3 linked regions of the Alligator mississippiensis genome follow. The protein of the gene in region 1 interacts with the protein of each later gene in a pairwise test. Links are inferred from orthologs where the notes say so. Each region holds a gene or a part of one and is shown in the gene's direction. Other genes may lie near its edges. The genes, in order: VASP, TRIM9 and ZYX.

Region 1 (10,269 bases):
CAGCCCAAGCTCCCCAGTGAAACTTCTCTACCTGGGGCCTGGGCACCAGGGATCTTCCACTGCAGGGAGGCACCTGCCCCTCCGCGGTAGGGGTGGGGGGAGCTGCTCCTGGGGGGGAGGGGGAGCTGGGGCAGTAGGGCAAGCTCTGAGCTGTCCCCCTCTGCACTGCCCCCCAGCACCAGTCCATGGCCTGCTCCTTCCCAGGGGGATGGGGACACTGAGTGAGCACAGCAAGGGGTACTGAGGCATCTCGTGGGCAGCAGCCCCCATTTGCCCTGTCTTCACCTCAAGCCTGGAAGTTCCCAGCAGGGAAGCGTGTGCATGCATGTGCACATGTAACTGGCCTGCAAACAGCTTCCCCTGCCCCACTGCCCCAGGCCCAAACCTTCCTCCCAGGTGGGCTCAATCTTGCCTGGTCCCCGGCACCCCCCCCCCCCAGCCCATTGGGGCCTAACTCCATGAAGCAGCCCTGGCACAGCGGGGACGATGGCAAGTAGGCGTGTGTGGGTGTTCGGTTTGGGTCACACATGCAGAACTCAGGTGTCCAAGACACATACACATGTTCCTTCCCCCCCCCCCGCCCCGCCCCTGTGTCTGGGACACATACACACATGTACAGAACCAAGGGACAGAGGGATCCCCCCCTGCCCCAGTGTCTGGGAAATGTGCATGCACACAAACCACCTGGGCATCTAGGCCACGCATACACACATACAGAACACACAGAACTCAGGTGTCTCACATGCGTGAGTGCATGCACATGCACACAAACGCTGTGTGTGAAGGTCCTAGCATGCATGTGTCTGCATGTGTGTGTGTGTGCGGAGCAGATGCTGACCCCAGCATGGGGGTGACGTGAGCAGCTGTCACCTGGCTGGTATGAGTGTGTGATTGTGTGTATGCCTGTGGGTGACTTGGAGAAGGTGGGGAGGGTCATTGTGTGTCCATGAGCAGATGCTCTGTTTGAACGTGTCTGGCTGGCAGGCGAGCAAGTGTGGCTGTGCCTGGCTGGGGTGGGCGGGGATTATGGGTCCCTGCAAAAGAGAGAGAGAAAGAGAGAGAGAGAGAGAGAGAGAGTGTGTCCTGGATGCCTGGATTCTCTGTGGTGTTTCTGTGTGTGTGCTTGTACCAGATGCCTGGGTTCTGTGTGTGTGTGTGTGTGTGTGTGTGTGTGTGTGTGTGTGTGTGTGTGAGAGAGAGCACACACGTGTGCACATGTGAATGTGTGTGTGTGTGTTTGTCTCAGATGCCTGGGTTTGTGTGTGTGTGGTTTTCATGCTGACAGCTGTCTCTATGCACAACTGTGGGCCTGAGCTTGGGGCTGGAGATGTGTGGTGGGTCTGTGTGTGCAGGGCTGGAAAGGCTGGCGGGGGTGTCACAGGTGTGTGTTGTGCTGGAGCATGCCTGTCCAGGGAGCTGGAGGGCCAAAGAGAGCTGTGCAAGGTATGCAGAGGTATGAGTCAGGCAAACGCTGGGTGTGTCATACAGGGTTGTTGTGCACTGTAAGGCTGTGGTGGGGGGGAGTGCTGTGTGGGGCTGTGTGTGCTGTGGGGTGTGCTGTGGGGCTAAATGTGGGGAGAGACAGTGTGTGCCAGCTACAGACGAGGTTGTGTGATGCACAGCTGTGTGTGTGTCCAGGGGCCAGAGTTGTGTGTGTGTGTGTGTCTCTGTGTATGACAGTGCTCTATATATGCATGTGCATGTATGTGCACAGTTGTGTGTGGGTGGGGCAGGGCAGGGCAGTGAGCACGTGTGTCTGTGTGCATGGCAGGACTCTGTGTGGGTCTGTGTGCATGTGTGGTGTGCACAGTTTGTGTGTATGTGTGTGGCAGGCCTGCGTGTGTGCACCCCCCCAGCCCTGGCTTGGCCCCACTCCAGCCTTGGCCCTGGGCCCAGTAAGCAGCTGCACTGGGCGGCACCAGAAGACCTGGGTTCAGTTTCTGCCGTGAGGTCCGGACCTGGCTGTCAGAGCCAGTGGGGTGAGGGTAGGGGCATCAGTGTGGGGCCTAGATCTAGCCTCTGGCTCCTGCCCCAGAGGTTGGGGGGTTACTGCTTCTGGGAGAAACCGCCCCCTCCCCAGCACCACAGTGTCTCCAGGGGCCCCTTACCCAACGCCTGTCCCCAAGCTGGATCCCCCAGTTCAGTTCAGCTCCCCCCTAGAGCAGCACGTGGGGGGGGGGGGGGCTGTGTACACAGTCCGGGGCTCCACCCCAGAACCAGCTGCCTTCCAGCACCAGAGTGTGGGGGGGTGGTCCCCTGTGTACCACTCCCCTCCTCGCTCCACCCTAGAAGTAGCTGCCTTCCAGCAGAGAGAGAGAGAGAGAGAGGGCGGGGGGGGGGAGAGAGAGTGTTTGTGGAGGGGGTCCCGATACACACAACCCCCTGCCTCTCCCTCCCCCCAGAAGCAGCTTCAGCGCAGCCCTCGGCCCTGCCCCCCGCCTCCAGCTGGCTGCCCCTCTGCCCCCCTCCCCGCACCTTAAGCAGCCTCTTGCCCGAGGCGGCGGCAGCGCAGAGCCGGGGGGGGGGGGGGGGGGAGTTCAGCACCGCCCCTCGCCCCGGCCGCGGAGACCCCGGGCGCCGTGAGCGCAGGGCCCGGCCCAGCCGCGGCCGCCGACGTCGGTGCCGGAAGCTGTGACTCCATCGCGCTCCATATCGGGCCGCGCTATTTCGGGCTTGGCTCGGAGCTGCTAAAAATAGCGGCCGCGGCTGGAAGCGGGAGAGGGCGGGGGCACCGGGCTGGGCACCGGGCATGCACCCCCCCCCCCCCCCCGGGCACCGGGCATGCACCACCGGGCATGCCCCCCCCTACCCCCCCGGGCATCGGGCATGCACTCCCGCCCCGGGCACCAGGCATGCACCACCGGGCACGCACCCTCCCCCGGGGACTAGGCATCAGGCATGCAGCACCGGGTATGTACCTCTCTGGGTACCGGGCATGCATTCCCACTGGGGATCGGGCATGCACCCCGCCCCCCCCCCTTCCCGGACATGTACTCCCTGGGCATGCACCATGCACCTTCCTGGGCACTGGGCATCCATCCCCGGGCACTGAGCATGCACCGCCCCCCCCACCCAGGGCACCAATCATCCAGCCCCCTGAGCAGTGGGTACTGGGCATGCAGCCACCCCCACCCCGGGGCAGCAGACATCCACCTCCCTCAGCACTGGACATGCACCCCGCCCCTTCCCCGGGCACAGGATCTCCCCTGCACCCAGCACAGGGCTCCTGCAGGGACCCCCATCGGACATCTCTCTTCACCAGGAACCGGGGCACCGAGCATCTCCCGCTGGGCATGCAGGGAGCCCTGGGATCTCCTCCTCGCTGCCCCGCTGCACAGCTTGGACCCCGGGCTTCTCCCGCCCGGCACTAGGCTCTAACCCCGGGCACCAGGCTGTCCTGCGGGCGTGCGGATGCACCAGGACTCCCCTGCGCGGGGGACTGGGCACCTACATTGCCACCACCTCGCCCGCCAGCCGGCCATGTGGGGAGTACCGAGCCTTTTCCTCAATGTGTCAGGGGAGAGGGGGGAACATGTGAAGAAGGACGGACAGACGGATAACAGGGTGCAGCAGAGCTACGGGGCAGGGTGGGGGGGGCACCTCTGGACATTCTCTCCACTGCCGGCCAGACTCCAGGATGGGTTTTGCCCTGTGCCTATCTGCAGAGATCCCAAAGCAGAGTCGCGCTGCCCCAGATACCTACTCTGCCCCTGCGCGGCGGGGGGGGGGGGGGGATAGCCATAGAGGGAGCCCTATCACAGACCCCCCCCCCACCCCCAAATGCAGGGCCAGCCCTGCCCAGAATGCCACAACCCACAGAGAATGGCACAGGGAGATGACAACTTGGGTGGGCCAAGAGGGCAGCCCCAGGCCCCACACCTCAGCCAGTCCAGCAGGCAGGAGAGAGAACCCAGGAGTCTGGTTGTCACTCAGTGCCCATCACAGAGGATCCTCATAGGGCATGTGGCTCTATGAGGGTCCCTGGCCAGGCCATGGAGCTGCCCGTGCTGGGCTGGGGAGCGAGTGTGAGGAGCTGCAGAGGGAAGTGGGGGATCAGATGGTGGGGACCCCTTGTGTGGACATTTCTGAGCCTGGGACGGGGACACCAGGGGCCAGTGTCTGAGGCTAGGATGCCCCAGCTGGCTGCAGGGGGGCATGGAGCCAGTGCTCCCACAGGCTGTGCCCAGCCATGGGGCTCTGGGCCTGGGAACTCATAGGTGGTTTGCTTTCAGAGTCCAGGGGCCTGGTACCTGCCTGGCAGCCCCAGCCCCTCCCCGCCAGGCATGCTGGACCCCCTCCATCCAGCCTCACGAGCCAGTGGGGGGGGGCGCAATAGCTCCCAGCCCTGCTGCCCTGAGACATGACACGATGTAGCCCAGATGAGGTGGAAATTTCCCAGCATTCTCTAGGGCAGCCTTTGCTCTGGGGCGCTCATGTGCCTGGGCCTTGGGACTCCTGGGTTCCACCCCCTCCCCTGCCCAACAGGTTGTCCCCCTGCGTGGGGTGTGGGGGCACTCGGTATCTGCGGTGGAGGCAATGCTGGAGCAGGGGCCAAGCCGACGGCTGGGGGCGAGGGGGGTGGGGCTGGCTTTGAGACCCCAGCTCCATGCTTTTCAGCCTGGTGGGGTAGGGCTGGGTTCTCCAGGTGCAGGGGGCCTGAATGTGCCCTTGGAGGGGGTCACACCCTGGGTAGGACACACTTAGCACACTGAGCCCCGGGGGCCTTGGCCAGGATCCCCGCGGTTTTGGCTGGTCCCATTCTTAGGGCTGGCGGGGGCACAGTTCTGCACCTGCTGCCGGGAACCCGGGCGGAGGGTTCTTTGGAGAATCCAGGAGTCCTCCAGAGCCAAGAAAATAACCCAGGCGTCCTGGCCGCCCCCAACTCTATCCCTCCTCTACAAGTGCTGGACTTAGGCGTCCTGCCCCCCCCATGAGATTGGAGCCAGGAGCCCCGCCTCCCAGGGCCAGGGGTAAAACCCAGGCGTTCCGGCCTCCACCCCCAGGCATGGCACCCAGGCGTCCCGGCCCTTATCCCCCGCCCAGGAACAGAATCCAGGCGTCCAGCCCCTGCCCCTTGCATTTGAGACTGGACCGAGGCGACCCGGCTCCCCACGCAGGCGCGGAACCGAGGCATCCCAGCTCGGCCGGCCCGGCCCTGCCCGGCCCCGCAGCGCTGACTCAGCCCCTGCGCTCGGCGGCGTCAGTCCCGGCCTCGACCGCTATTTTTAGCCGCGCGGCGCTAAGAATAGCGCGGGGGCAGCTGCCTTGCGGGGCTGCCCGGCGTCAGCACCGCCGGCCGGGACCCAGACCCACGGCCGGGTTGGTGAGGGGGGGGGGGCGGGCTGTGCGGGCCGGGCCGCGACCCAGGTAGGGGCAGGGGCGAGCCCAGGGCCCTATAGGGGAGGAGCGGAACTAGGACCTATAGATATGGAGGAGAGGATGCTAGGGACCCCTACAGAGGTGGGGCGGGGCGGGGCCGGCACCCTATAGGGGCAGGGAAGCGGCAGGGCCGCGAGCCCTGTAGAGGTGGGGGAAGGGCAGAGCCAGAGCCTAGACGGGTGTGGGTGAGGGGTCCTGTAGGTGTGGTGGAGGAGTGGGTGGGACTGTATAGGGGTGAGGGTGTGCCAGAGCCCGGACCCTACAGGGGAGGGAGAGAGGAGAAGCGGGACCAGAACCTGGTAGGGGTGGGGTAGGAGCCGGGCTGGGGACCCCTATAGCTGTGGAGGCGGGGCAGGGTTGGGACCTCTATAGGGGAGGGGCGGGGTTGGCTGGAGACGCCTATCGATGCAAGGGTTGGGTAGGGCTGGGTCCTACAAGGCTGGGGGGGGTAGCTCTTCCCCCCCCCCCGCGTTAACGCCTTCCCTGCCGGCTCATCGCCGCTCCCAGCAGAGCTCCTCTGCTGGAGACTCCCTGCATGGAATGACTGGCCGGAGCCGCCTGCGGGCGGCGAGACCTTGGCTGGGACTAGGGTTAGGGCTGAAGGGGCTCCGGGATTCCCGACTGGATCAGGCTCTTCCTCTCCGGCAGGGGGACCCAGGAGTCCCGGCGCCCAGGTCTCTGCTCACGCCGGATCGATGCAGCCCCTGGGTCCCAGGCCTGGCTCCGATGGCATGGGCACGACTCAGGGCGGGAGATGCGGGGTACGTGCTGTGCAGTCCCGATAGGGGTCGGGGTCGGGCTGGGGACCCCTGCAGGTGCGGGGAGGGGCAGTGGCCTGAAGAGACCCAGGGCCCCTCCTCCCGCCGCGACCGGGATGGATTTGATCCTCCTGCATTAGACCTCTTGCAGCTGCAGCTGCAACCTAGGAGTCCCGGCTCCCGGCACCCCGCTGACCCACTGGCTCTGGGTGTTGAGGAGGCGGACGCGGGGCTGGGTTAGGGTTGGCCCTGCTGCCCCCCCCCCCATGCGAAGCGGGATCCCGAGGCTTGGCCGGGCCGGAGGCGCCACCGTGCGGCCCAGCGCAGCGAAACAGGGGCACCCCTCCCCGCCCAGAATGAACCCAGGAGTCCTGCCCCAGGAGTGGGGTTGGGGCCTCTGTTCAGGGTGAGGGCCACAGCCTGGCCCAGGTGAGCCAGGAAGGGCAGAGAGGTGGGGGCCAGGACGCCTTGGTTCTATCCCCTGTCTGGGAGGGGAGTGGGCTGCGGTGGTTTAGTCTGGGATGAGGGGGGTGGGGGTGAGAGTCAGGACTCCTGGGTTCCCTCACTTTGCTTGGGGTGAGGATGGCTCATGGGGGAGGAGGGGAGGGAGGAAGTCCTCCTCTAGGGCAGCCATGGCTCTGGGGAATCTCTCACTCCCCAGCCCAGGATCAGGGCTCAGGCCTTGTCTGATACCCCCTCCTCAGCATGGCCTGGCTGCCCCCTCCCATGTCAGGCAGGTGCCCAATCAGCTCCCACACCCCGGGGCAGATGGAGAGGGGGTTGGGGAAGGTGGAGGGAGGCCAACTGTAGCTTGCCTCTGAGGTACCTGCCTGGTGCCAACAACAGAACCCAGGAGTCCTGGCCAGACCCCTCTGGCACTGCTCCCCCCTGCCAGGACAGGGGTCTCAGGGAGCCACAGCAGCCTCTGAGCACCAGGCTGCGGGGGAGGGGCACCTAACCTGAGCAGTTGGGGGGGCAGGAGGGGGGCGGGGAATGGGGATAGGATGCCTGGGTTTTGGGGATGGGAACCCAGATGCCTGGGTTCTTCCCTCCCAGCTAGGGGAGAAGAATGCGGTGTATTCAGCTCCATCCCCACCTTTTCCATGGACAGGACTCCGGTTCTGTGACAAGAGTTTTTATTAAAGTGTAAACCCCACACAGCCGGGGTGGGCATGGGTAAGGGAGTGGCTCCTGCCCCAGCTCGTGCCCCGGAGCACCAAGCTGCCCCCATCCCCAGCCCATCCCTGGGTAAGCCCCGTCCCATCAGCGCCAAGCATCCCCCCATGGGCAACTTGTGCCCAGGGTGGCAGCAGAGGGGGTTCAGGTGGAGCGGGGCAGGGTGGATGCTCATTCTGCCTTTGCTTTGGCACTTGGGAGCTTGGCCTGAATCCTGGAGGGGGGCAGAGACATGTCACATGCCGGGGCATTGCCCTGCCCCCCTGGGGCTCCCAACCCTGTTCCTGCCCCCTGGGAGTCCCTACCCTCATCCCTGCCCCCACTGGGGACTGCATTACACATGACCCCCCTCATTTCCCCCTGCCAGCTGGCAGGGCAGCCCCCATGCACTAGGGGTGCTGTTCTGGGGGGGAGGGCAGTGCTGGAAGCCCCCCCCCACGGCACTCACTTGGCTCGGAGGTGACTGAGCTGGTTCCTCACCAAGCCCACGTACTGGTCGATCTGTGCCTGCAGGAGATGGACTGGGGGTGAGGCAGGTGGGGAGCCCCTGGAGACCCCCTCCCTGCCTGAGATAGCAGGACACAGGGCTAGCAGCCTGTCTCCCCCAGGGACACTGGCATTCATCTGCCCTCTGCTTCAAGGCTTTCTCCCCACCCTGCACATGCACACATGTGCACACACTCACCTGGTGATGCCGGTAGAGCACAGGGAAGGTAAATGCACTTATCACACCTGGGGGAGAACAGGACAATCAGACTAAGCCATGCCCCCCCAAACCCTTGCCCTCCCTGCCTGGGCCACTCCCTACCCTGCCCTCACACAGCTCCCCCCCATTTGCACACAGCCCCAGCCAGACCATGCCACCCCCTCCCCCATGGTTCCCCTCATCCCTCTCCCACTGGGCCCAGATGCCCCCCTGCCCCTGCCTCCAGTGCCCTCTCACCCATGAGCAGCAGTGTCAGCCCATTGAACACGGCACCCACATAGGTGAGGATGTAGAACAGGAAGGCGAACTGAGGGGGCAAGATGGGGGGTCAGCACAGCTCCTCCTACCCTAACCCAGGGCCTGTGGTGGGGGTTATCCAGGGCCTGGTTGGGGGCAGGATCAGGCCCTGGCACAACAGCATGGGCAGGAAGGGATGGGGCTGATACCAGGGTCTGGCATGGATTCAGCCCCGGGGGTGGGATTGGGGCTGTCTCTGCCCATGGGGTGGGTGTGAGGCAGACCACTTGAGCAGGGTGTGGGGCCCAGGGCAAAGCAGCCTGTGCGGGTCCCCGCCCCCAGACACAAGGAAGCCGGTGGCAGATTTGGCAGCGAGGAGGGGGGTGGCAAGTGGCTGGACGTGAAGCCAGCAGCAGTGTGGAGTCACCACACCGTGCTGCCCCATCCAGCTCTGTTCCACCCCACAAAGCATCGGGATTCACACCCCCACCCCTGCCGGGACAGCCCTCGTGTGAGGTCACAGGGGGCAGCCTGGGGGTACGTCCTGAGGGCAGCTGACCCTCCCAGAGGTCACCGGGGGTTACTGGGGGTCAGGGGCGAGGGCACCTTGAGGGAGTCCACGAGGTCCTCGACAAGGAAGAGGTGGCGCAGGGTACGGGCACCAGCGGCCATGTGCTGCCCTATGCGCTCAGCCACATGCTTCAGCTGCTCTGGGGACAGCGACACATCTGTGTCCAGCAGGGGCCTGCAGCGGGGAAAGGGGGTCAGCAACAAATCAGATTCTACCTCTGCCCCCCACAGTGACCCCTGCTGGGGGAGCCTGGGGCTGGAGACCAGGGCAGGGGCAGAACTGGGGGTGAGTGGCTGGGGGTCCCCATGTAGTAGCTGGAAGGGGGTGGGGGCCCCCAGAGACTAGCTGATGGTGGTGGGGGGGCCCCCAGAGACTAGCTGATGGTGGTGGGGGTAGGGGTCCCTGGAGACTTGCTGGGAGGTGCTGGGGGTGAGGGGTCAGTGTCGGGGCCCCGATACTCACTGGAAGGGGTTGGGGCGGTGGCCAGGCCGCAGGGCGCCCAGCAGCATGTGGTAGAGCCGCAGTGAGAGGGTGATGCTGAGGGTGCCCAGCGCAGCCCAGGCGCACACAGCCACAGCGCTGAAGTGGGCCAAGCAGAGCAGCGCCAGCACCAGCCCAGTCAGCACCATCCCCGAGGCCCGCATGTCCCGCCACAGCACCAGCTCCAGCACTGGCAGGGGGAGGGGCAGGGTCAAGGCCAGGCACCCCCATGGCCTCTGGCCCCTGCTTGGCCCCCCATACTACCCCAGCACCAGGCTCATTCCCCACATCCCCCCCACCTCCCCTCAGTGCCCAACAGCCCCCCAAATGCCCCCATGGCTCCACTGCCAGGCTCAGCCCCGCCACATCCTCTCCACCCCCAGGCTGCCCTGCTCAGCCCCACCCACCAGCACAGGTATCTCCTCCAGAGTCCTTGCCCCACTCTAGGCAGGGCCCCAGCTCTGGGGCAGGTGCCTGGCAACTGGGCCTGGAAATGGCAGGGCTGGGCTGTGCACCAGTGCCCACCCAGCTTTCTCCTATTCTTTCTGCACACCCCGACCCAAGCCTGGCTGAGGGTGCTGTCCCTTTAAGGGTCCCAGGGGTCCCCACCTCCTGGGGTGGGGGGCAGCTAAGTTTAGCTGCGGGAGGGGGACAGCGCCTGCAGCTGTCAGCTCCCCTCCCCCACCCCTAATTGACAGGCCCAAGTGCCAGGCGGGGGAGGGGCAGGCACCTGGGGGGGTCCAGGGCCCTCCATGCTGATCCATGGCCCCTCATCCCCACCCCAACCCCCACCCCTACTCTTTGGCCCCCAGGCCCCTCTCCTTGGCCTGACCCACTCTAGGGGGGCCACAGCCCCCTCCCCCCACCTCCCCGCAGCCCTGTCATCCCAGCACCCCCCCCCCAACTTTAGGGCCACAAGCCCCACAGGCTAGACCCTGTCCCACCTTTGCCGCCCATTGCGA
Region 2 (10,348 bases), on another chromosome or scaffold:
TCCAGTGAAGGGCAATGAAAATGGTTGGGGGGCTGGGGGACATGACTTGTGAGGAAAGGCTGAGGGAACTGGGCTTATTTAGTCTGGAGAAGGAAAGACTGAGTGGGGATTGAATAGCAGCCTGCAATTCCCTGCAGGGGGGCTGCAAAGAGGATGGAGCTGGGCTGTTCTCAGTGGGGGCAGATGACCGAGCAAGGAGCAATGGGCGCAAGTTGCAGCAAGGGGAGTTGAGGTTGGATATTAGGAAGTATTTTCTCACCAGGAGGGTAATAAAGCACTGGAACAGGTGACCCAGAGAGGTTGTGGAGGTGTTTAAGACCCGGCTAGACAAAGCCTTGGCTGGGATGATCTAGTTGGGGCTGGTCCTGCTTGGAGCAGGGGTTTGGACTAGATGTGACCTCCTGAGGTCCCTTCCAGCCCTCAGCCCTACTCCGAAAGAGGGAAACCCTTTTTTGTGAGTGCCTAGTTCTCAGCACATCTCCCGTTTCTGAAGGAGACGTGATAGTGCCTCTCTCAGCATGCGTTTCAAGTCATGCTGGGCAAAGACTGCAAGACCCTTCCTAAATGAAGTTCCTCTTCTGTTCTGCATGATCCAAAGCAAACAATTAGCATCTACTCCAGCCTTGATGGCTTTCTTCACATAGGCAATCAATCCAGCACAAAGCGATGTATAGTGGATGCTCGTGCCCTGTGTGTCTGGAGGTGTGTTGTGCAATAATATCTTAGGGAAAAAACCCACACGGCTTCATCAGATATAAAGAACGCAGCTACCATGTCATCCGAAACAGCCCGGAGAGAGCTTTCCTCGGCAGCCGTAAGCTTCTGTCGTGTCTTGTTTTGGAGCCCACGTCGCCAATAAGGAGGCATTCGTGCATGTAGTGATAGACTGCGCACGTGCTCCTGGAGACGATTCAGGCTGGGCTCTTTTTAGTCCATACATGATACTTCCAACACAGGAGCTAAAGAAAAGTACCCCCCGCCTCCCCGAGCCATATTCAGGTGGCCTCAGCACCAGTATTGGAAATGAGGAGTAAAGGAGAGAAGTTGCCCAGCCTCTGGGGAGCCCAGCACTGCCTCTGTATGTGACTGTAGCACCCCAGCCCTTATCCCCAGATCAAAAAGGGGGCGTCTGAAGGGCAGAGCTCGCTCCCTCTGGGTACTTCCCAATAGATCCATGCTGCATGCCCCGAGCAGGGAGCACGCCACACCTCTACCCTTGCAGATCGTCCCTGTGAACAGTCTGCAGCTCTTGACATGCCTTAAAAAGAGTCCGAATCTGTGGGTGGGGAGGGTAAAAATAAATGATGCCAGGGGAGTGCGGCCTTACCTGAAGGGCTAAGTGCAAAGACCAAAGCTGGGGAGGCTGGATGGGTGTAAGAGCTCCAGCAAGGAAAGCCTGTCCCAGTGCAAACCCGTCTGTATGCAGCAAGAAACTACGGGGGGAGAGCAGAGGAAGCCAGTGGGAGATGCGGGCGTGATGGGCAGCAGCATCACTTCCGTGAACCACGCAGCAGTCGGAGCCTGTCTGTGCTAAGATGCCCGCCATGGCCACCCCCTGCTTTCCCACGCTCCTTGGAGCCAATGGGTCCCACCTCCTCCCTCCTGTATGTGCGCAAGGAGAGAAATGAGGCCTGGCTCACAGTGCTGCCTGCAGTCAGTCTGCACCCCCTCAGGTCGGGGAGATGTAGCGAGCCAGCCTCAGTGTCCCCTTCTGTGCCACCAAACACCCAGTGGTCACTACAGCTTCCAACCCCAACCCCTTCCTCCCACCCTTAACTATGCCAAGGCAGCCACAGGTCCTCTTTCACTTGCTTTACCTTTCGCCCCTCCACTGTAGGGTGACTGGGAGCCTTGGCTCATCCGCTCCCCTGAGCTCCAGGGAGGAGCTCTAGGGACCCTACCATGGGCAGGCAGGCCTCAAAGGCACCTCCAGCAGTGCCAGCCATCACCTAGTTCAGAGACAGGGTCGTCCCAATGCAAAGCAGCCCATGGAAATCCTTGTCCAGCCTATTACTAAAACTACATAGGTGACCCTGTCACACAGCCGCAAAGCACAGCACCCGAACCTGCCCCAGGTAAAGCAGAGGACCGTGGTGGCCAATGTCCCCTTGCTGTAAAAGTTGCTAATACATGCTAAGAGGAAGGCAAAACCCCACAGCCCATATAATCTAATCAGGGGGCAAAAGTCCTTCCTGACCCCAAATATGGCATCAATCTGACCCTGAACAGAAGGGCAAGGTGTTCAAGCCAGGGACCTCCAAGTTGACATCCTGGAAGGAGAATTGGCACTGCCCAGTCACAACCCCCAGCCTGGGCTGCAGCCAACACTCATGCCTCTGAGAGAGGTGGAAAACCCCTCCAAACACTCAGCCTGTCTACCCTCTTCCAGCTGCAGGGCTTTATCCCACTTAAGTCCAACACCCAGCACAGGTGCAGCATGCAGGACTAAATGAACGGGGCTGGCCAGTGCCAAGCTGCCTGGCCCTGATCCTGTTTCAGTGCTATTCATGCACCCACACCGCAGTGGGCAGGAGCTGCCCTGTGCTGAGCGACGTCGGATGAGAACTTGAAATCTCTGCCCGGCTCAGTAGAGTCGTATTGCAGATCCCCCCCGCCTTTCTAACAGGCCTGTTTTATGCACAGAAAAATCATGGCTGTGCCTTGCTAACAGAAAACTTCCCTTCACTGCACACCCAGTTGCATTGGTTCCAGACGAGGGGTTTTCAATCTTTATTCATTTGCAGACCCCTACAAAATCTCAAATGGAGATGTGGACCCCTTTGAACTGTAAGTGTGGGGATTCACATACTGCTGATTGATCACAGTCATCTTTCCTGGAGCCCTTAGACATAGTCTGCAGGACCCCAGGGGTCCACGGGCCATAGGTTGCAAACCACTGGTCTAGATGCAGCGCGTGCTTTCTTCTCCTCCAACCTCTCTGAGACATCTGCATGGTGTAGCCCGGGCACCGTGCCCTCTGCAGTTCTGCACTTGCCTTATTTGCTGCAAAAAACCCAGCCTAGGCGCTACCCACCCTAACTTACACATGCAAAAGCACATTTAAGCCCAGGTCCTGGAAGCCCTTATGCACGTGATGACTTTTAGTTGCACCCATTGACGTGACTGCATTCTACTTCAATGGACCCTGTGCATGCAGCTTAAAGTTAAGCCCGTGCTTACGTGTTTGCAGGAGAGCCCAGGTGCTACCGAAGGGACCCATCTTACTGTGAAACATATGAGAACATCAGAACTGCAGTTTACTGGGCCAGACCATAAGACCGGCTGTTGACCATAGACAATAGACCACAGTCCATCTTGCCCGGTCTCCTGTGCCACACCGGGGCAGAGGCTTCCTTCAGGCAGAGGGTTGAGCTAGTTGATCTCAGAAGGTCCCTTCCAGCCCTGCTGCTTTCTGCTTCTGTGAATAACCCCCTGGTCCAGTGGAGTGTGACTGCTCCAGGGCTGGCACGGGGCACCCCTGCCGTGGGTCAGGCTGGAGGGCAAGGGCAGGCATTTGGCCCGGGGGAAGGGGTGGTGGCACCTCCACAACCAATCTGTGCATGATGGCCCTTCATAACTGCATATCATCAATAATACATATAACTCCCTGCCAATAAAAATGAAGGCATGCAAAGAAAAATAATGACATGCAAAGAAAAATAAGGGGACGTAAATACAAATCATGACATGTAAATAAAATAGGGGCATGCAAATAAAAATAACAGCATGCAAATAACATAATGGCATGGAGATAAATAATGGCATGCAAATAAAGATGATGCCATGCCAGTAAAAATAAGGGCAGTTAAATAATGATGCCATGCAAATAAAGATGATGCCATGCAAATAAAAATGATGCCATGCCAAGAAAAATAAGCACATTTAAATAACGATGAGGCCATACAAATAAAGATGATGTCATGCAGATAAAAATGACGCCATGCAAATAAGAATGATGCCATGCCAATACAAATAAGGTTGTTTAAATAAAGATGACGCCACACCACTAAAATAAAAGCAGTTTAATAAAGATGATGCCATGCAAATAAAGATAATGTTACACCAATAAAAACGATGCCACACCAATAAAAATAAGGCCATTTAAATAAAGAGGATGCCATGCCAATAAAAATTATGCCACAGCAATAAAAATAAGGGAAGTTAAGTAAAAATGATGCCATGCAAATAAGGATGATGCCACACCAATATAGATGACACCACACCAATAAAAGTAAGGCGGTTTAAATAAAGATGGGCAGGGGGTCGGATGTGATCTGTTCAGGTCCCTTCCGACTCTACCAACTATGAAACTATGATGCCACACCAATGAAAATGATGCCATGGCAATAAAAATAAGGGCAATTAAATAAAAATGATGCCATGCAAATAAGGATGACGCCACACCAAGAAAGACGATGCCAGTAAAAAGAAGGGCATTAGAATGAAAATGATGGCATGCAAATAAAAGAGTGGCCCGCCCAACAAGATGACGCCACGCCGATAAAGACGACACCACGCCAATGAGACTAAAGGCGTTTCAATCAAGATGACGCCATGCAGACAAAGATGACGGCACACCAATAAAAATGACGCCACGCCAATGAGGACAAAGGCGTTTCAGTCAAGATGACGCCACGCCAATCAAGATGACGCCACACCAATTAGAATAAAGGCGTTTCAATCAAGATGACGTCATGCCAATAAGAATAAAGGCATTTCAATCAAGATGACGCCATGCAGATAAAGATGATGTCACACCAATAAAGATGATGTCATGCCAATGAGAATAAAGGCATTTCCATCAAGATGACGCCATGCCAAACAAGATGACGCCATGCCAATAAAGACGACCTCACGCCAATGAGAATAAAGGCGTTTCAATCAAGATGACGTCACGGCAATCTAGATGACGTCATGCCAATTAAGATGATGCCACGCCAATAAAGATGACGTCACGCCAATGAGAATAAAGGCATTTCAATCAAGATGACGTCATGCAGATAAAGATGACGCCATGCCAATAAAGATGATGCCACACCAATAAGAATAAAGGCGTTTCAATCAAGATGACGCCATGCAAATAACGGTGACGTCAGGCCAATAAAGGTGACGTCACGCCATCCAAAGGCAGGTGACTGTAAATACAAATAAGGCCTTTGCAATCAAAACAGGGCATTTCCACGTAACCTGGGCACACCCGTGCCAGGGCGGGCGAGGAGGAGGACGCGCAGTGCTCGGCGCTGCACGCCCCTGGCCCTGGCCCCGCCCGCTGCGCAGAGCGGGGGGCGGCGGCCAATGGGAGCGGGGGGGCGGGGCGCGGGGCGGGGCGGGGCGGCGCGGCGGTGCGCTGCGCTGGGAGCGGCGCTGGCCGCAGTGCCGGAGCCGGAGCCGGAGCGGGAGCCGGAGCCGGTCGCTGCCCGCGGTGCTGAGCCGTGCCCCGATGGAGGAGATGGAGGAGGAGCTGAAGTGCCCGGTGTGCGGCTCCTTCTACCGCGAGCCCATCATCCTGCCCTGCTCGCACAACCTGTGCCAGGCCTGTGCCCGCAACATCCTGGTGCAGACCCCCGAGGCCGAGTCCCCGCAGAGCCGCCGCGCGTCGGGCTCCGGGGTCTCCGACTACGACTACCTGGACCTGGACAAGATGAGCCTGTACAGCGAGGCGGACAGCGGCTACGGCTCCTACGGCGGCTTCGCCAGCGCGCCCACCACGCCGTGCCAGAAGTCGCCCAACGGCGTGCGGGTCTTCCCGCCGGCCGTGCCCCCGCCGCCCCACCTGCCCCCGGCCGCCACGCTGGCCCCCGTGCCCCGCAACGCCTGCATCACCTGCCCGCAGTGCCACCGCAGCCTCATCCTGGACGAGCGGGGGCTGCGTGGCTTCCCCAAGAACCGGGTGCTGGAGGGCGTCATCGACCGCTACCAGCAGAGCAAGGCGGCCGCGCTGCGCTGCCAGCTGTGCGAGAAGGCGCCCAAGGAGGCCACGGTGATGTGCGAGCAGTGCGACGTCTTCTACTGCGATCCCTGCAGGCTGAGGTGCCACCCGCCCCGGGGCCCCCTCGCTAAACACCGCCTGGTGCCGCCGGCCCAGGGCCGGGTGAGTAGGAGGCTGAGCCCCCGCAAGATCTCCACCTGCACGGATCACGAGCTGGAGAACCACAGCATGTACTGCGTGCAGTGCAAGATGCCTGTGTGCTACCAGTGCCTGGAGGAGGGCAAGCACTCCAGCCACGAGGTCAAGGCCCTGGGCGCCATGTGGAAGCTGCACAAGGTGAGAGCCCTGCCCTGCCCTGCCCTGCCCGGCCGCGGGGGGGCTCGGTGTGTGGCAGGCCCCTGAGGGCCAAATCCTGCACTTCGGGGTCCGCCCTAAGGGTCTGCCACTGGATGCGGTCCCGTGCCCTCGCTCTGGCTGCGCATCTGATGCTCTCCCTGCCTTGCAATGGGGGACGGCTCCGTGGGGACACGTCCCCACATGCCCTCTGCCAGGGGTTGGCACGTGCCTGTGCTGGGGAAGGGGTGCACCGGCGTTCCCCGTCCGTCTTTCCTCCCTGCTCGGCGTGCGTCCCCAGGGCTGGGCCGGGAAAGCAGCAGGGAGGGATGGGCCTGCCAAGGGCCCCCACGAATGGGGGGAGAGCCTGCCCTGGGGACCTGGGTGAGCATGGAGGCATGAGAGGGGGCAGGCAGAGCCAGGGCTGCCCGCTTGGTTGCACACAGATCCGCCACAGGGCAGCATCTCCCTCTGCTTCATGCGTCCCCTCTCCGGTAATCCGGGTCTGTGTGGCGTGTGGCTGACCCTGCCTGAGGTAACTAGGGCAGAAATGACAGGGATGCAGAGAGACACGGTGCGGATCCCCCGGGAGCCCCCGCGCAGCGGTGTGGGAGAGCTGCCCCGGCCCCTCAGGAAACGCTTTCCAGGAACGCTGCCGTCCCGCCGTGTCATGTGCGGAGGTGTGGAGGCAAAGAGCCCCGTGGTGGAGCACATGTGTGGGCAGTGCACGGGGTGGCATGGGGGAGCGAGAAGGGCAAGGGGGTGCTTCTGACGGCCCTCGGGGCTGCTCCTGCAGGGGCGATGCCCCAGTGGCTCTGGGAGCGCGGTCTTCCTGAGAGCATGCAGTGGGGGGAGGGAGTGCGTGCGTGTGTGTGTGTGTGAGTGTGAACTCTGTGTGCATGCATGTCCATGTGTGGCCCCTGTGTGAGTGTGTGTGTATGTCCTCCTTGTGTGTGTGTGTGTCCTCCTTGCATGCGTGCGCGTGTGCGTGTCCTCCATGTGCATGTGTTTGTCCTCTGTGTGTGTGTGTGTGTGTGTGTGTGTGTGTGTGTGTGTGTCCCCTCCATGGGTGCATGCATATGTGTGTCCTCCAGGTGGTTGTGTATGTGTGTGTGTCCTCCATGTGTATGTGTGTGTGTTGTGTGTGTATCCCCTCTGTGTGTGTGTGTCCTCCGTGTGTGTGTGCATGTGTTTGTCTTCCATGTCTGTGTTTGTCCTCCATGTGTGCATGTCCTCTGTGTCTGCACGCATGTGTGTCCTCCATGTATTTGTTTATGTGTCCTCCACGTGTATGTGTCCTCCGCATGGGTGGGGGGGTGGGGGGTGTGCATGTGTTTGTCTTTTGTGTGTGTTTGCCCTTCGTGTGTGTGTCATCTGTGTGTGCATGCACGTGTGTCCACCGTATACATGTGTCCTCCACGTGTATGTGTCCTCTGCATGGGTGTGTGTGTGCATGTCTCCCTCCCACAGCCCGATGAACAGGCTCCCCACTACGACACTCTGGTGCATGTCCTCATCCACCCAGTGACACCAGTCACCCCTGGGTGTCGGGGCCTCCCTGGCTTTCTCGCGGGGGCCAGGAACAAGCGCGTTTCCCATGGAGGGGCGTACTTATGTATTGCGTTACGCTGAGCCGCGCATCTCCGTACAGCCTTGCAGTCGAGGGATGGAGGCGGATGCGGGCCCTGGGGAGCTGCCTCCCAAACAAATATCGCATCACAGGCGAGCAGTGACATCACACGGTTTGGCTATGAGTCTATCCAATTTAACTCCTCCTCTTCTTGGCGTTGTTAGGGCTCAGTCCAGCTGAGCTCTTTAATTAAGTACATGCATAACATTAAGCCTTTGAAGAAGCCTCGTTAGCTATAAAAGGCCCGTGCCTGCAGTTAAGCCCATACTAAAGAGAGGGGCTTTAGTCCCTTTAATGAATATAGAGAGTCCTAGGCTGACCCCTTCATGAGTGGATTTTAACTCAGCTGCTCTTCGGAAATGAAGCCGAGCGGAGATGCTCTTTTGGAGGCCTTTGGTGTCACCGGAGGTGATCACTTCCCTTGCATGTCTTAGCTTCCTGAGCCGGATTTCCGAACATTCGGTCCGGCTGTGCTTTCTCCTGAGTCACCCTGCCGTTCGGCTCATGGATAGGCTGGAGATGCCAGGCTTGTTGCTACTCCCTGCTGGGTAGCAGCTAGGCCAGGAGAGCGTGTCTTGTAAATGCAATAGGATTGAGTCCTCGAATCTGGGAGTGGGCAGCCAGAGCATGGGTCAGGCTTTTGGGGAATGTATGTATTGCAAATAAAGAGCATCAGCCATTGGCGCTTAAAGGCTTCATCCTGCAAGGGGCCTGGGTAGATGAGCACTCAAATGCCTTTCAGGTGTTGAGTCTTTGTGCCCCCACACTACCCAGGGGGGCTTCGACCTGTCACAGAACGAGACGCTGCAAATCAAACAGGACTGGCTGAAAAAGGCTAATTTAAAAGACGGAGGGAATGTCATTCTCGTCCGTCTGGTCATCGTGCTGTGCTCGAGGTGGGCTCTTGGCTCTAATGCACCTTTGAAGCGTGCAAGAGGGCATGACAACGTTCGGATCATGCTCTGCAAACCGACAGTGGAAATATACAGTGGCAACAAGTAACGTCTCTTTATTTCTACTATGAGAAGGACTCGGTCCTTGGTTAAACCCGCGCTGAGCTGAGAACGCCTTGATGAGTTGTTGTTCTTGAAAGCAGTATTCATATATCAAGTTATGACGGCCTAATGCCACAGCTGTTAAATACAGCGTGCTTTACTTAGGGAAGAGATCAATCACCTCTCCCTAGAGAGCTCTTTAACAAGTGACCCACTTCTTCACTATGCGGTGAGACCGTGCTGACGGTGCCGTTCTCACAGCCGAGAATTGCAGATTCAAATGTATATATTTCAGAGAGCGCTGATTTTGAAAATGGGCACAGATAACAAGATAAGACCTTTTCTGTGTGGCCTTGCCTTCCAGCAGAGCTATTGAGATGGTATGCACAGGGACCAAGAGGAAAGTGGAGCGATCATCTGAAACATCCTCCTTTTCATAATATATACATCACTGATCTCTGGAGTTTTCCTTTTATGCAGACGAGCTTAGTCTTCTTGGATTCAAGGGCACATGGGGCCAAACTTTGTCTTTCTTGCAATATTCCCAGTGCCGCTTTATCTCTCACGAGGACGTTTGCATGAATAATGAATACAGGGTCAGTCCAGCTAAGGGATCTCTGAGGTCACTTAAGTCCATTATGGTGCTACTGCGGGCAACTGTGTTATCATTTAGAAACCGAGGAAGCTCCACCATTAAGTGAGGTAGGGTATTGGCTGCTTCTGGGGCAAAGGGAAAGTTGTTTCAGAGCCTTGCTTCTCCGGTTAAAAACCTTTCTTGTTCTCCACGTTTAGAAGTTGTCCTGATTAAGCACTGAAACCCCAACAGCTTGGTTATTTCTGTTGGTCTCCAGGTTTTAAGCTGCTCATGACTTGAATATCTGAGGGTCTTCTAAGCACAAGCAATAGCAATAGTGAAGTCCCTGCTAGGTGTCTTGGAGGCTCTGCTGTGTTTGGTTGTGTACCTGCGGAGGGATTCAGCTACCTGGCCAAACATACCAGTAAGTGCTAGGAGACATAATAGGGATATTTGATGGGCCACGTTGGCACCTAATCCCTCCATGATGGAGCATTTGCAAACATTTGGTCATGTGCAGTGTTTGGGAATGAAGATGGCAATGAAAATGGTTTGGGGGCTGGGGCACATGACTTATGAGGAGCAGCTGAGGGAATTGGGCTATTTAGTCTGCAGAAGAGAAGACCAAGGTGGGGATTGAACAGCAGCCTTCACCTCCCTGCAGGGGGTTGCAAAGAGGATGGAGCTGGACTGTTCTCAGTGGGGGCAGATACAGAACAAGGAGCAATGGGCTCAAGGTGCAGCAAGGGAAGTTGAGGTTGAATATTAGGAAAAACTTCCTCACTAGGAGGGTGGTGAAGCACTGGAACAGGTTACCCAAAGAGGTGGTGGAGTCTCCATCCTTGGAGGTGTATAAGCCCTGGCTAGACAAAGCCTTGGCTGGGACG
Region 3 (10,566 bases), on another chromosome or scaffold:
CAGGAGCTGGTCAGACCGCAGTTGGAGTACTGCGTGCAATTCTGGGCACCACACTTCAAGAAGGATGCGGATAACCTGGAGAGGGTCCAGAGAAGGGCCACTCATATGGTTAGGGGCCTGCAGACCAAGCCCTATGAGGAGAGACTAGAGAAACTGGACCTTTTCAGCCTCCGCAACAGAAGGGAATTGGTGAGTATTTATTCACCAAGGCGCCCCCGGGGGTTACAAGAAACAATGGCCACGAGCTAGCAGACAGCAGATTTAGATTGGACATTAGGAAGAACTTCTTCACAGTTCGAGTGGCCAAGGTCTGGAACGGGCTCCCAAGGGAGGTGGTGCTCTCCCTTACCCTGGGGGTCTTCAAGAGGAGGTTAGATGAGTATCTAGCTGGGGGCATCTAGACCCAGCACTCTTTCCTGCTTATGCAGGGGGTCAGAGTCGATGATCTATTGAGGTCCCTTCCGACCCTAACATCTATGAATCTATGAATCTATGAGTCCTCGCTCACAGGGGAAGGGGCATGGTGGGGCAGATCGAGGCCTGCATGGTGAGGGAGGTGGTGGGGCTGGGACAGGGGCAGGCACTGCCCAGCTGGGGTGGGGCAGGGTGCAAGGACAGAGCCATGGGAAGCTTGTTTAGAGTCACAGGGGTGGGGTGGAGGCAGGGAGGAGGTGGCTCCCGCTGCTGCATACACCCTTGGGGAAGGCATGGGGGGCATGTGCCCCCTGGATTTGTACATGTGGTAAGAACGGGCTGCCCAGGGGCTGTGCCAGCCTCTTCCCAGCAAGGGGGCTGGCTGCACACAGGGCATACAGGGGCAGGGTGGGTGGCGGTGATGCTGTGAGCGGGGGCTATGATGAATTTTGGGGTGGCTGTAGCCCATTCTGTAACCCCCCCCTCCCAGCACCGCTGCCACCTACCCCTCCCCCATCTTTCCTGAGCACAACCTGGTCCAGCCCCCTCTCCCCACTCCCACCACTGGGAAGAGCCCAAAGTGGGCAGCCCGCCATCATCCTGTGCACAAATACGATGAGCATATGCCCCCCATGCCTCCCTTGCAGTGTGCACAGCACGGAGAAACATTTCCCCCCCTCCCTGAATGAGCCACCCATGGCTCCGTCCTGTTCCTTGCCCCGCCTGGGCAGTGTCTGCCCCAGCCCCAGCCCCAGCCCCTCCCTCATCATGGGGGGGGGCCTCAATCTGTTCTCCCCATGCCTCCTCCATCCCCCATGCCCCTTACCCCCCACACACTTACCAGCCAGACACTGCTCTTCAAGCTGCCAGGCTGCATATCAGCAATCGGATCAGTACCAGCCATTATGGCTAGTTAATAATCGACCATCGGTACTGGCCAAAAAATCTTTATCAGTGCACCCCTACTAATTCTACTTCATTCTTTTTGAGATATGGAGACCAAAACTACACACAGTATTCAAGATGTGGGCACACCATGGATTTGCATAACGGCATGATAACATTTTGTTTTCAATTCCCTTAACGATGCCCAAAACTTCATTGGCTTTTTTTGGTTGCCACTGCACATTGAGCTAGGTCAGAACCCAGTATTATGTAGGTATAGTTGAAGCTGTTTTTCCCTAGGTGTATTTTCCTTTCAAAATTAATCTGCCATTTTTTTGCCCACTCAGTCTGCTTGGTAAGATGTTTCTGCAGCTCCTCTTGATCAGTTTGGGACTTGACCACCCAGAATAATTTATCATCTGCAAACTTGGAGATTTCACTCTGCATCCGAATTTCCAAGTCATTGATGAAAATGTTGAACAATACTGGGTCCAGCACAGATCCCTGCGGGATCCCATTCTCAACCTCCCTCCATCCTGAAAAGTAACTGTTTAGCTCTACCCTTTGTTTCTTGCTCTCAGTCTGCAAAAGAACCTTCCCTTCAATCCTGTCACAATGCAGTTTTTTTAAAAGCCTTTGTTGAAAGTTTTGTGAAAGTCCAAATATATTATGTCAACTGGATCTCCCTTGACCACGTGCTTGTTAACACCCTGCACCAGATTTGTGAAGCAGGATTTCTCTTTACAAAAACAGTGCTGGCTCTTCCCTAGCAGATCTTATTCATTCATATGACTGCTGAATTTATTTATTATTGATTCTACCAACTTGTCAGGGATGAAAGTGAGACTCACTGGTCTGTAAGTTCCCAGGTCACCTCTGAAGCCCTTTTTGAAAATGGGCATTTTGTTGGCAACCCACCAGTCCTCTGGCACAGAGTCTGTTTTGTTATGATAAGTTACTGATAGGTTATTGCCAGCCATTCTGAAATTTCACCCTTGAGTTCCTTCAGAACTCTGGGGTGAATGCCATCCGGTCCTCATGACTTATTAGTATTTCATTGGATTTATTCTAAAACTTCCTCTGTTGTTATTTCAGTGTGGTCCAGCTCTTTAGGCTCAATGATTAGAAGGCACTGATCTGGCATGGAAATTTCCACAGTATCTTCTGCAGCAAACATCAACGCAACAATTTTTTTTAGCTTCTCTCCTATGGCTTTATTATCTGAGTGCACCTTTTACACCTTGGTCATCTAATAGTCCCACCAATTATCTAGCTGGCTTCCTGCTTCTGATGTATTTGAAAAAGTTATTATGATGAACTTTAACATTTTTGCTAGATGTTCCTCAAATTCTTTTTTGGCCTTCCTTATTTTGCTTTTATACTTGATCTGCCAGGGCTTGTGATCTTTCCTGTTTTCCTTACTTGGGCATGTTTTCTATTCTTTAAAGGATGCCCGTTTGCCTCGAATGGCTTCCTTGACTCTGCTATTAAAGCATGCAGAGGTTTTATTGGTGTGCATGTTACCCTTTCTGATTTGTGGTACACACTTTTCCTGAGCCTCTAATACGGTATTTTTAAATACCTTTCAAGCTTCCTGCAAGCTTTTTACATTTTTGACTGCTCCTTTAAATTTCTAACTTCCTCATTTTTGTGTAATTTCCCTTCCTAAAGTTGTATATTGGTGTGGTGGACTTCTTTGGCTTACTCCTTCCTGCTAGAATGTTGAACACGATTATGTTATGATTGCTTTTACAGCATGGCTAACCAACAAATACCTCTTGAACTAGGCCCTGTGTGTTACTCAGGATTAGGTCTAGACTTGCATCTCCTCTTGTGGGTTCCAAGATGAGTTGTTGTAGAAAGCAGTCATTTATCACATCCAAAAATTGTATATCCACGTCATGTCCTGATGAGGTGTTTACCCAGTCTATGTGAGGATAGTTGAAGCCTCCCATTATTATCGCTAGTCCTATTTTAGCAGTCTCTTTAATCTCCCTAAGCATTTCATAATTATTTAAACCTGATCAGGTGGTTGGTAGTACAATCCAAGTACTAAATACTTTGTATTCAATTATTGGATTTCTACCCACAGGTATTCTATAGTTGTTTTCCTTTCAGGTAAGATTTGTACGCTCTTACTAGCTATATTATCCTTAACATATATTGCCACTCATCCACCTGCATGTCTTACTCTGTTATTTCTATATAGTTTGTAACCTGTTAGAACAGTATCCCACTGATTATCATCCTTCCTCCAAGTCTCTGGGATGCCTATTATGTCAGCTACCATTTAATACTAGGTATTATAGTTCACCCATCTTATTTTTTAGGCTTCTGGCATTAGTGTAGAAACATTTATAAATGTCCTTGCACAGCTGCCTGCAACTGTTCGCACTGAGCAATGGATTAGCTCAGCAAGCGGCCGATTAACTCAGCTGGTTAGTGCATGGTGCTAATAATGCCAAGGTTGCTGGTCTGATATCTGTTTAAGACACAACACCTTTTCTGCCTCAGGCAGGGGGCTGGACTGGATGACCTCTTAAGGTCCCTTCCAGGCCTACTTCTCTACAACTTCTATTTGGAACTCGATGTTCTGACTTATCTTCACTATTATAGTTATACTTCTTACTCCCTCACTATCCTCTTCAAAACAGTAGACTCCAAATTAACATTCCACTTTTGTTTTGCATCAGCCCAACCTGTGTGCTCTGTGTCACTACAAAATGTCTAATGCAGGCACACTATGTTAGTGTAAACTGCTGTCTCAACTGGCACAATCAGCAGTGTGCCTTAACTGAGGTAGATCTATGATGAGCATACTTTGGAGCAGTTACACTGTTGGCTAATAACCCTAGCACAGATGGACAATGAAGTCATCTAGGCATAACAATTAGTAAGTTATTTCTTAGGAATCTGGCAACAATAGAACCATTAGCCAGTAGCAAGTATCAAGGCCAGATTCTGAGGGCAAAGTCTGATGATTATGCAAAACAAAGGAGTTTCCCTTGGCACTTTCCCTCAAATTCCTTGGAGAGAATTTACTGAGGGAGGTTGTGCTTTGATAAGAGTGGCTTAAAGAAAAGAAAGAAAACCAAAGATCTGGTATTTAAGTTGTGAGGTCCTTGATGTAGGGGCAAGATCTTTTGGGTCAAATACTGTGGAGTGCCGCTGGCCAGCAAAATAATAGGGAACACTTTGAGTGGATTTAGGATTCTGCAGATCAAGATTGTCACATAGGACTGGCAAAGCAGGAGGAATCTTACTCTGTGTGACTATGCATCGGGACTGAGAAGCATCAGTAGATGTCAGGTCTGAAATAGAAAATCAGGTGGCATTAGCATCATTTCAAGAAACAAAGTGATCTTACTGGGGGCTGAGGTTTGAAATAGTTGAGTCATGTCTCATATAGAGTACAACAGGAATACCTTACTTGCAGTATTGTGGGCTTGGCTGTGGGTTGTTTAAAAAAACAAACAAACAACCAACAAACATTGAGAGGACTGGGAAAGTCTGAGTCAGATGCTCTTGCAGCTGGCTCATACATGGAGGGGGCGGGGGAAAAGGATAGATGGGACATGACTCAGGAGAACTGTAAAGTTGCTGCGTTGGTGGCTAGAAAAGTCACCCATAGGCTGCGGACTGAGGAGTGCCACCCGGGCCATGGCCCGACCAACTTTTAGCATGTTAATTTAGCTAGCTACGCAGTTAAAAAAATAGCTATACAGTTTTAATTGGAATGACAATTGTGCATCTGTGGGTTATATAAGTCATGGGCGACTGGTGTCACCTTAGCTGGGGGGGGAGGGGGCACGTGCCCCCCCCCACAACCAGGGGTTCCCCTGCAGGCAATCTTGTGGACTGGGGGGGGAGGAGTCCCCCCATGGCAAAACTCACTGACCGGGAAGTAGCTGCAGGGCTCCCAGAAGCAGCCACGGCGCTACAGCGAGTGCTCCTGCTCTCCCACTAGTGCTTGCAGGGTGGGCACTGGCGCTCCCGCCTGCCCATCGCTTAAGCGGGGAGCACAGCCTGTCAGGGGGTGCAGCAGCGCTCTCAGGGGGTGCACATGCACTCCCAATGCGTCGCCACGGATAAAAATTAACGTGATACAAGTTGGCCGTGCCAGGCCCAGGTAGCCCACCCCGTTCCACGGCCTACGAAGTCGCCAGCCAGCAGGAGTGGCAGAGGGGAAGCATTGAGGACTAGGCGGATACAAGGGAAAAGCAGGCATGGGATCAAGGGGGAGGAGAGAGAAGCAGTGACTGACCCAGGAACGGATGGGCATATGCAGGGCGAGTCACAATGGGGCGGCTCTGGTAAAACACAGCATCTGGGGCTGGGCAAGGAAAGAAGAGAGGCTACAAGACGTTCAGTTTCCAGGCCCTGAAGAGAAGAGAAGAGAAGAAGAGAAGAGCGGACGGGAGGGCGCCTCCTTCTCCTCGGGAGGAGTCGAGGGCGGGGCTGGGGGCGCAGCCTGGAGGGATGACCGCCGCCAGCCAGCTACGGCTTCTCCGCGCCCCCCGCCCGCCCCGTTACCTCATTGCCACATTCCCCGGTGAGTGAGCTCAGCTGCCCGCGCAGCCTCGCGCTCCTTTTATGGGCAAACAGCGCGGGCTGGGCGAGGCCTTCTCGCCGCCTGCGAGGAAGTGATCGGGCTGCTCCGCTCCCCACCCGGCCACATCCTCCCCTTCCCTCCCCTCGCAGCGCAGACGCGGGCCCGGGCAGGGAGCCGAGCCGAGTCGAGCCGCGGCGGACAGGAGCTGGTCCCCGCGGGCGGGGGCTCTGAGGCGTCGGCGCGGAGCGGAGGTGAGCCCCCCCCGCCCGGCCCCGCATCCCGTGAGGCGAGCTCGGGCCCGGGAAGCGGCTCCTCCTTTCTGTCCCGGAGCCCCCCGCGCCTGACCCGCTCCCACACGCGTGGCAGCGTGACTCCGGGCCTGCCTGGCCCCCTCCCCTCCGCGGGCCGGGCGCTGGCCTGCAGCGGGTGCGCGGAAGGGTTTGTGGCTGTTGTCGAGACTTTCTTCTCTTTTGCCAGCGAAGCTATTTATTTTTTGCAGGAGTGACCCGCGAAAAGTGGGGGGTGAAGTGAATGTGGCGCTGCTTCCAGCTGATCCTTTCACTTCGCCTTTGTAGGGGCACTTCCCCTGTGCTGCTTTGCACTTGGAGGAAGCGGGTGACTGCATGCAGAGCCGAGAGTTAAATCGCGAAATAGGTTACTGGATGGTGTGTCGCCCTTGCCTGACTTAAAGCTGAGATGCCCTTCCCTTCGTGGAAGGAAAAAAGTAACTAGGAGGGCACGGGGGACCTCCTCCCCGTGCGAGCATGGGGGAGCGTGGAGACCGGCTTGCGAAGTTCAGGTGTTTGCAAGGTTTCAAGTCCAAGGTTTTATTGTACTTGAGGATTGGTTTGTTCACAAATGTGAGCGCCTTCCTTAAACTGGGTTGCTTCTGTGTATGAGATGCATCTGTGGCCAGCAGGACAGACAGCAGTTTGTGTTCCAGGTGTGTGGAGAAGACATTGCGGGTGGGAAGGTAGCCTTTGCCTGGGGCTTTGGTGATGCCTTCCTCTACACTTCCGCTGGGCTTCCTGAATATTGCTGCTAATAGCAGGGCAGCACGATGATTTAGGATCGGGCCTCTGCTGCTGACACAACCTTTTTGTCCGTTTATATGCATGGATAGCAGACCTGCCTGAACTGGATTGTGTGTTCAGGGGAGCTGCAGCTCGGAATTGAGTACCAGTAGAACTGGACAAGGGGGCAAAACAGCAAGCAGCTGTATTGCAAGTTATTGGGGAAAGCTGTCCCTTGGCTGCCCCATTTTTCTTTTTTAACTTTCCTCTGACAAATAGGGTGGTGGCTGAACAGACGGGAAAGATCACGTTAAGTAACATTTAGGACAGGCAAAGGCAGCTGCTGTGAATAGAGAGAAGCTTTGATCTAAGTAGAACGTGTAGGGAAAGGAGCTGCTTGGGTATATGGGAGAACGGGACCGCTGCAGGTAATTAATCCAAGTGTCTGCATGAAGCAGCCAATGTCCCAGAATCCTTTCTGTGGAGACTGTCCCCATGATGGTGTGCAAGTACAATCTGGCAGTGACTGACTCATGGCCTGTAAGTTTCTACCTGGCAAGATAAGATTGTAATGGTAATGGGTCTTTCCTTAACCTAGCAAAAGCAAAATAAGCTCCAGTGACTTGCCTAGACTGTAGATGAGATTGAGATCTCTATCCATCACTTAAGATCTATATTAATCAATTAAGGTCTCTGTAGGATACGTCTGCTCTTCAGTGCTCTCAAGTCTGCCATTGAAGATCCTGTCCTGCGCATTTTCTCCCTTTTCATATAAGCACAACCGAGAGAAATGAGGCAGCTCGGTCAGGGGATACTTGTTTCCAGGATCGGCTTATGTAGAGGGAGTGTGGGAGGGTAGAGTATAATTTTTTCCCCCTCTCTTTTCAACAGCAGACTCCAAAGTGTTGGAAAAGCAGTGCCCTTAGTACTCTGAATCTTTCAGAAAGAGGATGTTTGCTGGAGTTAGAATACATACATACGTCTGAAAGAATCATTGGGTGGGGTCTGCGATTTGTTTGCTTATACAGGAGATTTGCACTAGCTGACCATAATATTCATTCAGATATATGGAGGTATTCTGCAGGACTCTGAGAAACTTTAATAGTGCCAATGTCTGATACTGGGTGAAATGGGTCTTGGGTTTTAGTAACTAATGACTGTAGAAAGAAGCAATTATCCAGATAGAAATAGTTCCATCACTGGAGGAGAATGGGTGAGGATGAGGGAATGAGACACATTTTTGATAGAGGTGCACTGATATATCAGTTCATATCATATAGGCACTGATAAAAGGAAAATTGACAGTCGGCTTTTTTCGACTGATGTGGCCAATTAATGTTGCCGATTTAAATACTGCATGCATGTGCACAGCCACAGTATGCATATGGCCAGGAGTGCAGCCTGGCAATTTGGAGCACAGTGTCTGACTGGTAAGTCTGTTGGAAGGGGGTTGGGGGGAGTGGGGCTGGTGCAGGTACTGCCCAGCCAGGACAGCTACAGTCACCCTAAAATTCACCATAGCTTCCCAGTGGTAACTCCTTCTCCCAGTGCTGCTGCCGCTCAGCCCAGACACAGTCCCAGCCCAACCCCCCTGCTGGGAAGAGCCCAGCACCGCCCCGGCCTCAGCCTGCCTTTGCCCTGTGCACAGATCCGGTGGGCATGTGCCCCCTGTGCCTCCTCCAGGGGTGTGCACAGCGGTGGGAGCTGGCCTCCACACCCCCTGGACAAGCTGCTCACGGCTCCGTCCTGCACCCTGCCCCTTCCCTTCCCTTGCCTCAGCCCCATTCCCTCCCTCACCACAGGGGGCCTCAATCTGCCCTTCCCCTAATAGACTTACCAGTTGGATGCTGCTCTCCACACTGCCTGGCTTGCATATCGGCAATCAGATCAATATCAGCAGATATGGCTCACTTAATTGACCGTTGGTATCTGCCCAAAAGATCTTTATTGGCGCACCCCTAATTTCTGAGTGCAAGGGCAAACTTCAAAATCATGGAATCATAGAAATTAAGGTCTGGAAGGGACCTTGAGAGATCATTGAGTCCAACCTTCCTGTTCTGGGCAGGAGAACTGCTGAGAAAAATGATCCTAGCATAGTGTCTGTCCAGCCTCCTTTTGAAGATTTCCAAGGTTGGGGACTGTACCACCCCCTTGGGAAGTCTATTCCAGATTCTGGTCACCCTTACCATAAAGAAATTCTTTACATCCAGCCTGAAACCATCCTTTAATGCAGTGGTTCTCAACTTTTTTTTGCTGTGACCCACTGCTGGGAGCAGGGTGCAGCAGCGGCGCCCTGAGGGCAGGGGAGCTCCCGGCACAGCTCGTCTTTTGTGTGCAGCGCTGCTGGCATTGCCCCCCGCAACCCTCATTTGGGTTGCGATCTGAGGTTGGGAGCTACTGCTCTAACAGTTTATGGCCTGCTCCTTGTCCTCCCCTGGGGCGCCCCCTTTTTTTCCCACCTCCATGGCATCTCCACAGTTTGGAAACTTTGGGCACATCATTAACTTCTGGCCACCTATACAGGCTTCATCAGTAATGGATGATCAGTGGGACAGCAATGCTGAGGATTGCTTTCAGCATCAGGACTGTTTTATAGCTGCACTTATTGCCCATGCTGACTGAAAAAGGGCTGGTATTGTTGAGGAACACTGTCCAAGCAGTGCTTTATCCAAAGCTAACTGACTTTGAAGGTTGGTAGTATGCTTGCCTGCGCACCACTGGGAGTATTACTGTATGTGGGTACTAGGCCGTACTGATGTTAAGGCCATACTGGTGGAACTTGGAGCTGCTGGCACTGCAGACTTTTAGTGCAGGCGAGATCTATGGGCTGAATAACAGGATGAGAAGTTTTTTAGAAATTGGCAGTCTTATCATAGGATCTCCAGTACTGATTATGCTGAGTTTGGAAATATCTTAAAGATAAATTAATTCATGGAAAGATGGGGAAAGATTAAGGGGAAAGTTTTTTATTTCTGAAGAGATTCTGTGCCCTTCCCTTCCCCCCCCCCCCCTTAAAGACCTGAGTTCCTATACCAGCAGTGGGTATGTCTAGCTTGGTGTTTCCCAGCCTTTTCCAGCCCAAGGCACACTTACATTAATAACAATTTTCTGTGGCACACCTGTTGAGGCATTCCCCATCTTTATAGCTCATTGCCATGGCAAAATTCTGCAGCACACCTGTTCATTTCTGATGGCACACTTTTGTGCTGCGGCACACTGGTTGGGAAACACTGGTCTAGCTGACTGAGGTAAGCCACATGCCACATTAGCATTGGCATAACTGTGAGCATATAGTGGAACAAAAGAGGTTATTTTGGCAGCACTGTATTCTGCTGCACCCTGAGGCTTTGGCAGCACTGTACTTTGCTGCACCCTGAGGCTAGGTCAGAAGTGGAATGGGCTGGCTTTAGTACAACATCTGTGCAGCAGGGGCTGGGAGGGAGTGACTCTAAGAGTGTGTCAGTGGAGCTGGCTAGATCAAGAAGTCACTTCCTGTAGGAAAGGGAGGAGGCGGGACAGGCTGCCTGTTGTTGCAGCTAGTGAGGATGCTTTAAGAGCTCTTATCTATTACCGCAGTGACAGGGACAGCAAAACCATCAGAGCAGGAGAGCAAGACGGAGACCTTGTCTGAGGAATGTGTTATGCTGTGAAATCCCCTAGGCTTTCTTCTGTTCTTGCGTTGCAGCTGTCTGTGCTTTGTTA

What was found.
Region 2: the proteins of VASP (region 1) and TRIM9 interact in binary tests that used the Homo sapiens proteins (3 or more experiments, as listed by UniProt). The two-hybrid records come from large-scale screens. The link is inferred for Alligator mississippiensis from reciprocal best matches to the Homo sapiens genes VASP and TRIM9.
Region 3: the proteins of VASP (region 1) and ZYX interact in binary tests that used the Homo sapiens proteins (3 or more experiments, as listed by UniProt). The link is inferred for Alligator mississippiensis from reciprocal best matches to the Homo sapiens genes VASP and ZYX.

What each region holds. Positions count from the first base shown.
Region 1 is NC_081838.1:109,173-119,441, reverse strand, and holds the start of VASP (vasodilator-stimulated phosphoprotein), read left to right. Parts: upstream 1-6,059; 5' UTR 6,060-6,105; coding exon 6,106-6,140; intron 6,141-7,256; exon of another isoform or gene 7,257-7,484; coding exon of another isoform or gene 7,485-7,527; intron 7,528-7,761; coding exon of another isoform or gene 7,762-7,820; intron 7,821-7,998; coding exon of another isoform or gene 7,999-8,045; intron 8,046-8,256; coding exon of another isoform or gene 8,257-8,326; intron 8,327-8,862; coding exon of another isoform or gene 8,863-9,001; intron 9,002-9,289; coding exon of another isoform or gene 9,290-9,497; intron 9,498-10,269. Other genes in the region: RTN2 (reticulon-2), read right to left, coding at 7,485-7,527, 7,762-7,820, 7,999-8,045, 8,257-8,326, 8,863-9,001, 9,290-9,497. UniProt on the Homo sapiens protein: Ena/VASP proteins are actin-associated proteins involved in a range of processes dependent on cytoskeleton remodeling and cell polarity such as axon guidance, lamellipodial and filopodial dynamics, platelet activation and cell migration.
Region 2 is NC_081825.1:298,806,817-298,817,164, reverse strand, and holds the start of TRIM9 (E3 ubiquitin-protein ligase TRIM9), read left to right. Parts: upstream 1-5,390; 5' UTR 5,391-5,440; coding exon 5,441-6,265; intron 6,266-10,348. UniProt on the Homo sapiens protein: E3 ubiquitin-protein ligase which ubiquitinates itself in cooperation with an E2 enzyme UBE2D2/UBC4 and serves as a targeting signal for proteasomal degradation.
Region 3 is NC_081827.1:154,143,158-154,153,723, forward strand, and holds the start of ZYX (zyxin), read left to right. Parts: upstream 1-5,764; 5' UTR 5,765-5,851; intron 5,852-5,980; exon of another isoform or gene 5,981-6,102; intron 6,103-10,566. UniProt on the Homo sapiens protein: Adhesion plaque protein. Binds alpha-actinin and the CRP protein. Important for targeting TES and ENA/VASP family members to focal adhesions and for the formation of actin-rich structures.